Linked DNA regions of Kluyveromyces lactis. The protein of the gene in region 1 binds, or shares a complex with, the protein of each later gene. Links are inferred from orthologs where the notes say so. Each region holds a gene or a part of one and is shown in the gene's direction. Other genes may lie near its edges. The genes, in order: PAT1 and DHH1.

What was found.
Region 2: the proteins of PAT1 (region 1) and DHH1 are in contact, whole or in part, in a crystal structure (PDB 4BRW), measured with the Saccharomyces cerevisiae proteins. The link is inferred for Kluyveromyces lactis from reciprocal best matches to the Saccharomyces cerevisiae genes PAT1 and DHH1. Residues at the interface, in NP_010002.3 of Saccharomyces cerevisiae: Gly25, Tyr26, Gly27, Glu28, His29, Glu30, Leu31, Glu32, Asn34, Asp35, Leu37, Asn38, Glu40, Thr41, Phe42, Val46, Gln47, Val48, Gly49, Thr50, Asp51, Phe52, Phe54; in NP_010121.1 of Saccharomyces cerevisiae: Val265, Glu267, Arg268, Gln269, Lys270, Leu271, His272, Cys273, Asn275, Thr276, Leu277, Ser279, Lys280, Asn291, Ser292, Thr293, Asn294, Arg295, Glu297, Leu298, Leu299, Lys301, Lys302, Leu306, Tyr312, Phe358, Asp359, Ile409, Pro410.

The regions. Positions count from the first base shown.
Region 1 is NC_006042.1:2,529,622-2,533,968, forward strand, and holds PAT1 (deadenylation-dependent mRNA-decapping factor PAT1), read left to right. Parts: upstream 1-1,326; coding exon 1,327-3,939; downstream 3,940-4,347. Other genes in the region: RQC2 (Rqc2p), read right to left, coding at 1-607. UniProt on the Saccharomyces cerevisiae protein: Activator of decapping that functions as a general and active mechanism of translational repression and required for P-body formation. First decay factor recruited to mRNA, at a time when the mRNA is still associated with translation factors.
Region 2 is NC_006039.1:1,452,314-1,455,896, forward strand, and holds DHH1 (DExD/H-box ATP-dependent RNA helicase DHH1), read left to right. Parts: upstream 1-1,341; coding exon 1,342-2,886; downstream 2,887-3,583. Other genes in the region: mitogen-activated protein kinase kinase STE7, read right to left, coding at 1-382. UniProt on the Saccharomyces cerevisiae protein: ATP-dependent RNA helicase involved in mRNA turnover, and more specifically in mRNA decapping by activating the decapping enzyme DCP1.

The DNA.
Region 1 (4,347 bases):
TTCCCTTGAGTTTACCTTTTTTAGCCTCTCCGGGCACAATTGTGCTTTTGGCTTTAACGTCGGCTTCTTTCAACCAATCTGCTATTTCATTTTCGAAATATTCCTTAGGATCAGGAACCGTAGTTGAAGTTTGGTTAATTTCTGCAAAGTTGGCCATGTCATAAAATTCACCAACTTTCATCGAATAATCATCGACAACTCTCTGTAGTAAAAGAATTTTTTGGTCAGCATCCAATAAAAGCACATTTCCGGCACTGAAAAATTCTAAAACAAGGTAGTACTTACCATCAGCAAAAGTAAACACAATTATTCTGTCATTTGGGATCTGCTTAACTGCCGTCAATCGTTTTTCTTTCAAATACGATCTCAATTTGGAAACAAACCACGAAGGAGTCGGGGGAATCGGCCTGGTAAAGTCAGTAGTATGAACTCGCAATCCGCAATCAATGACAACGTTTAACTTGGAATCGGGTTTTCCAAACTTTAATAAGAATTGCCTGTTTGAGTCAGCAATGTTATAGATATTTCTTAAGCGAAATCCTACAATTTGATTCTCCAACTCTTTGGATATCAGTTGCAAATCTAACGAACTCAATCTCTGTTTCATTTTCTAGTATCAAATCCAAGATTATAGTTTAGATATTTCGTACTCTCCAAGTTGCAGTTAAGTCCACTTTACCAGTCTGAGTTGATTCTTTTCGAGCACTATACTTGATTCAGATCTTCATACAAATCAGTATTTTCACTGCTAATCAGATTAAAATTATTAGAACTTGGTCACTGCTATTAGATCAGATATCTTTTATTACTTAGGTTTAAGACTAAACTGCTAAGCTGATATATTTTCCAGATAGCTGTACCTAGGATGTTAGTAGTATATGTCATCTTTGTCTATTCGCAATCACTTTATATATGCTGCTAATGAAGGAAAGAAAGACTACGTACGAGTTTGTATTGGAACTTTCTAAACTACCATGTTGAAAAATGTCAAATATTTGAAATCACATGACCTGAATTTCAAATTTTGAACTAGAAATCCTTAATATGTATATCATCTTGCACGGTGAAATTTTTCATCAAACAACAACCCAAAAATGTAATTCACTTAACAAGCAAAGTAGTTTCTATGCTCAAAAATAAGTGATCAGAGATATTCAGAGACCGTTTGTTGGAAGATTGCTTGAACGAAACGCAGGCAGGTAGCGACTTAAATCACATTACTTGTGTTTTTAAGAGAATATAATAGGATTTGTCGACAATTCTGATCTAGAAATCGATTTTTGCCCAATTAGTATAGGAGTCCTTATATTCCTGAATCACTGAACGATGTCATTCTTCGGTTTTGACGCCACGGGCCGAAAACCTCGTGAGAGGAAACAGCAAGGCGAGGAGGATTCTTTAGATTTCGAAGAAACGTATCAAGGCTTGGGTGATTATGAGCCAGAGGAAGATGATTTGCTCAATGATGAAACTTTTGGTACTGGAGCGGATCTGGGTACAGATTTTGATTTTGGTTACGGTAAAGGGGAGCTTGGCGCTGGTTCAGGTTCTGGTAGGGCACCAGCACCAGCTCCTGTTTCTTATGCATCTATTGCAAATGCCAAAATGAACAGACAAGCAGACTGTAAACCTGGTTTCGAACAATCGCTGGACATGCAACCTATGGAATCTTTATGGGGTAACAGCTCCGGTAATCAGCAACAACAGGTGCAACCTCAAGCCCCTACACAATTCCAAGCCCCACCACAGGTTCAACAGCAAGGTGCACCTAATGTGGAAGGATTGGCCATTCAATCTTTAGACAGACAACAACAGATGGCTATGCCGCCTCAACCTGGATTCTATGGTATGCAACCTCCGCAGAACCCTGGCTACGGCTTTATTCCACAAGGGTTCCCTCAAGGTCAATACCAGCAATTCCCTGGGCAAAATATTCCCCCTGTTATCCCTAATCAATTCGGTAATGCCGGATTTCCTAATCAACCTGTTAACCCTCAGGAACAATTCCAACAAGTACCACCGATAATGTACAATCAAACACAAGGAAACATTGCACATCATATGCAACATCCGCAGATGGCTATGCCACCAATGCAAAATCAACCTCCTGTTCAGCCCCAGCAGCCCCACCAACAGCAGTTACCTCCCCAATACTTGCCTCAACAACACCAACAAGATCAGCAGCACCAACAACAACACCAACAGCAACAAGTGTTCCAACAGCCTCACTCCGTTGACACTGCTGCTAGAACCCAAGCTGTCCGTTCTACTCAAGATTATGAGCATTCTAACTCTCCAACACCTGTGCCAACAGAATCAGAGCAGGTGCCAACTCCACCTCATACACCTAGAGAGTATCGCCGTGGTCCAAGGAGGTTTGGCACCCAAGATCCTTTGACTGATGAAGAATTGAGACGTCTTCAAATCAGACAATCGAAGGTTGACAAAATTCTCAGACACTCTGGTGTAATGACTCCAAGAGACAAGGATTTTATCACCAGGTATCAGTTATCTCAAATTGTCACTGATGATCCCTACAATGAGGATTTCTACTTCCAAGTTTATAAAATCATTCAAAGGGGTGTCACTCCATCTGAATCTAATAAGGATTCTATTGCTAAAGCATATTTAGAGCACTCGGGTCACAGATTAGGAGGTCGTTACAAGAGAACTGACGTCGCGTTACAGAGAATGCAATCTCAGGTCGAGAAGGCTGTTACCGTTGCGAAAGAAAGACCACAGAAAAGTAAGGGTGGGTTGGATAATGCCAAAGAGGGTGTCTTGGGTAAAATCTCAGCTACTAGGAACTCAAAAGCTCCAAGAAAGCAATTACAAATCCCAACTCACAAAGAGGATTCTCCAGCGTTGTCTTCTCAATCAAGCTCAGCCCTAGATGAGGTGTCTGAATCTTTGCAAGGCGTGGATATCAATGCCAAAAGAAGAAGATCATCTTATGCTTTGAGTTCTTCAGTGGACCATCGTACAGTTTTATCCCGTTCTGGTGGCCGTAAGTTCATTTTATCATTGATTGAAACTGTTTACGAAGAAGTGCTTGAACTAGAAGCTCAATTGAGATCCGGTCAACAGCCGGACAGTTCAAAATTATGGGAGGCGCTACACGTTGAGGACCACGGTTTTGACGTTTCTCCCTTCATTTCCATCTTATCTTTCGACAAAGGTATCAAGATTATGCCACGTATTATGAATTTCTTGTCAAGAGAAGAGAAGATTAAGCTTTTCAACTGCTTCTTCAAGGAACTTTCTCATTTGAATGTCATTGTCATATCATCGTACAAGACTACTCCACTTCCTACTAAAGATCAACTGAAGAAGATGGAATTGTTCCAATCTGTGTTTTTGAAGATCATTGTTTCGTTCTTATCCAGTTCAGCAGAGTTTTTGGAGGTAATGAGTCTACTAATAAATGTCATTCAGAATAATAACGTTTCTTTCATCACCACATCGCGTATCGGTTTGAATTTGATTACCGTGCTCATTTCACGTGCTGCTTTGATGAAACAAGATGTTAGCAGGGGCAAACTGTTGTCTTCTGTGGAAGTATCCACTTGGAGTGAAGTCTATGATAGGCTATTTACTTCTTTAGAAACAAAATTGACTGCAATTTTCCCAACACCTGAATATATGCAACACGCCATTTCAGTTTATGAACAGGATTCTACTCAGTATGATCAATCTTACATCTGGCAGTTCCTTGCATCGCTTGCTTTGAGCGGAAAATTGAACCATCAACGTATATTGATTGATGAAGTGAGAGACGAAATTTTCGAAGTCATTTCAAAGGCTGAAGAACTAAATGCCCCTTCTCAACAAGACCCTAAACTGGCTTATCAAAGAAACAAGTTCTATCAGGATTTGAACTTGTTCTTGAATGTCATGGGTCTTGTTGCTCGTGATGGTGAAATCACTGAACTGAAGTGATCGATATCGTGCGCCTCCTCTGATCAGCCCCTATCTCGATTGCCACTGTTAACTGTGTGCTACAAATTCGAAATCAAATCTCAAGGAAAAAAATTGCAAAAAAAAGTCAGCTTTATAGTATCTAAGTAATTCTTCTATTTACTATTACAAATGTATCATATTTCCATCTACTAGAACACTTCAATCCTTATGAACGCCGAAAGTGCAATATGTACCGTAAAGCCAAATGATTCGGTTCCTGTTCCTCACCCTGTGTTTCTGTTAAGTTGGAATGTTTAATTTTTGTATTTTGCTAACGTAAACAATTAATTAATTGGAAAATGCAATTCTAAAGGGTTCAGATATAAAAATGAAGATGAGATGAGACAAACGAAGAGGATAAGAAAAGAGTAGAGATAACCAAGGCCG
Region 2 (3,583 bases), on another chromosome or scaffold:
GTGACATTGGAGCATCTCTTGTGGTTGGTGTAGTCCCGCTGACAATGGAAGATATATCTGATGTACTAGAACTCCCTTGAAGGAATGAAACCGTCTGGAATGAAGTGTCTCTGCTAATTGGACTTATTTCCTCACGGACCGGAAGCTTCTCCAACATCAAACTGAGTGTTGGACCATTTCCATTACTAAAACCTTTCGGTATTTCGTCAGGAGAGGAAGATGATGATGAACATGATGATTCTAGAGTCAAATGCTTCAAATTCTTCCGTTTCAAAGTCTTCGGTTTGAACAAACTATTGCACGATCCCTCTGCACTATCATTCGACGGTTCATGGTTTATTCGATTCAATAACATCGAGCCGTTTTGGGTACGTGTAATCATATGCTTTTAAGTCAATCTGACCTCAATGTTCACCACTTTCTGCGCCTCTTCTCTTTGGAGATATTAAAGTTTTACGATCAATAATAGATATTAATACCAAAGCCAAACTTACAGGCTCAGATGATTGTAAAATGAGACAAAAATTAAAATGCAACTAGAAACCCTAATAGAAAGACCCCACCAGGTTCCAAAAAACAACACACGTTGGCTCTTTGCAACACTCCTTGCTGCCTCAGTAATCGTCTCTTTCTTCTTCTGAGTTACTGCTTAGCCTTGTATAGGCTTTCTTTATCATTACTTAATTATTACGCTACTTTTTATTTATACGGTGCATGATAAATTAGTGTGGTCCTCAACGGAACCACGAATAGAACAAGAAAATGAAAGGAAGTCACTTCTGCTATTGAACGTAATGGGAATGCCTAGTTGCCTCGAGCATTCTCATTTCAACGTACGCTCATATGCGCTGATACATCTATATATATTTTTGTCTAGGCATTCCCATTATTCGCACTGCATCGTACCTTATCGCTACAAGTGATAGAGAAGCCTCACGGTGCTGAGCTTAGCCCTTGGCATATTTGTTACCCGGACATGTCTTCACTTTTCTTATCACGTGACAATTCGGATTTTGTGAAAAGGGTGATATCCGTTACCCGCACTTGTAATTGCTTCAGTAGGGTAACATTGCTCTTCCCTCCACTCTGGAAAGAAGAAAAAATTATGAAGTTTAGAATTAATTTGAACAATTATTACAGAGGCACAAGAGGAAATAAAAGTATAACATGTGTATTATGGTCATAGGTATAGTATTTATACATTCTACTCTGTGATATTAGCAACAGCATAGTTTCCGGATATACACTAATTGACTAATTTTATTAATTGACTAATTCATTGAAGCTTTATTTAAGAAGGTTTAACTTTATCTGCAAAGAATATTAAAGATAATTGATAATATGGGCAGCGATACAAGCGAAAGTAATAACGACTGGAAGACCCAGTTGAATATTCCTAAAAAGGATACGAGGCCTCAGACTGATGATGTGTTGAACACGAAGGGTCGTTCGTTTGAAGATTTCTATTTGAAAAGAGAACTTTTGATGGGTATATTTGAAGCAGGGTTTGAGAAGCCTTCCCCAATCCAAGAAGAAGCTATTCCCGTTGCCATTGCCGGGAAGGATATATTAGCGCGTGCCAAGAACGGTACTGGTAAGACGGCAGCGTTCGTTATACCAACTTTGGAAAAAGTGAAGCCCAAGTTGAACAAAATTCAAGCATTGATTATGGTTCCTACAAGAGAGTTGGCTTTGCAAACATCACAAGTGGTGCGCACGCTAGGGAAACACTGTGGTATCTCTTGTATGGTTACCACTGGTGGTACGAATTTGAGAGATGACATCATGAGATTAAATGAACCTGTACACATTTTGGTGGGTACGCCCGGTAGAGTGCTAGATTTGGCATCAAGAAGAGTGACAGATTTGAGCGAATGTCATTTGTTCATTATGGATGAAGCGGATAAGATGTTAAGTCGTGACTTTAAAGTGTTGGCGGAACAAATACTTGGGTTCTTACCAGAACGTCGTCAACTGCTTTTGTTCAGTGCGACTTTCCCAGTCACCGTGAAAGAGTTCATGGTGAAGCATTTGAAAAACCCTCATGAGATTAATTTGATGGATGAATTGACACTAAAGGGTATATCACAATTTTATGCATTCGTGGAAGAAAAACAAAAACTTCATTGCTTGAACACTTTGTTCAGTAAATTGCAAATCAACCAAGCAATTATCTTTTGTAATTCTACTAACCGTGTCGAACTTTTGGCTAAAAAAATTACTGAATTAGGATTTTCTTGTTACTACTCACATGCTAGAATGAAACAATCCGAAAGAAACAAAGTCTTCCATGAATTCCGCCAAGGTAAAGTTCGTACGTTGGTTTGTTCCGATTTGTTAACTCGTGGTATCGATATTCAAGCCGTTAATGTGGTCATTAACTTCGATTTCCCAAAGACTGCCGAAACTTATTTGCATCGTATTGGTAGATCTGGTAGGTTCGGTCACTTGGGTTTGGCTATCAACTTGATTAACTGGAACGATAGATTCAACTTGTACAAGATCGAGCAAGAATTAAACACCGAAATTGCTCCTATCCCATCTCAAATTGATAAATCCTTGTACGTTGCGGAAGATAGTTCCGCAGTCCCAATCCCATTCCCTTTGGAATCCCTGCCAATCACTGCAAATGCTCCCCAACAACCTGCAAATGCTGAACCGTTGCCTCCTCAACAAACTCAAGTGCAATTCCATGCTCCTCCTCAGCAGCAACAGCAACAACAACAGCAACAACAACAACAACAATATCAACAATTCCCAAACCAACAACAACAGCAATATGGTCAGCCTCTAATGCCGCAAAACTACCAACAACAGGCTTATCCACCTCAACCTTTCCCATCAAAAGGCTTCCCACAACAACAATACACTCAAGCTCCTCAATAATGAATTAAGCATTGTTTTAATGCTTGCTTCTAACGGAGCAGTTTTTTTTTTTATCTTAATTTCCCACTTTTACTACTCAAAACCCAAGTCGATCCTATGAGTTGAAATTCAGGTCCAATTTCAGTTCTTGTCATTATTTTGTATTTGTTAAAAAATTAGGCTTTGTCCACATACCACGCATATTGTACCTCTAGACGCTATTGAATATTTTCAAATACTCGACAATCCTTGCGCGTTTCAAAAATCTCACTAATGTTGATTGTACATTAACCAAAATTGACTATAACTAAATGTATCATAATCAATGCACTTTTTCAGCACACTTTATTTGGTTGCTCTATAGGGTCTTATTCTTTTTGCCCTGAATTAATATGAATCGTGGGTTTCAATACTAACCATCTCTACGAATTCCACTAAAGGTTCCTGGACTTTGTTCCCCACCTTTGCTTGTATGCCCAGGTTTGGAATACGAATGCCTTCATTTTTTCTTTTTCAGGCGCTATCGCCTGTAAATTTAATCAATCAGCTTCTTCCTCCATTCATTCCAATCGCCTGTCCTACTACGATAATTTCAAAAGAATCAGTATTACTAAACTGGCCGGTCTTAACCGTGATGGCTCAATCATACAATATAGCCAATCAATCTACTCAATCTACTTATCCTCTCTTTTTTTTTTCTCCGTCTTATATTACTATA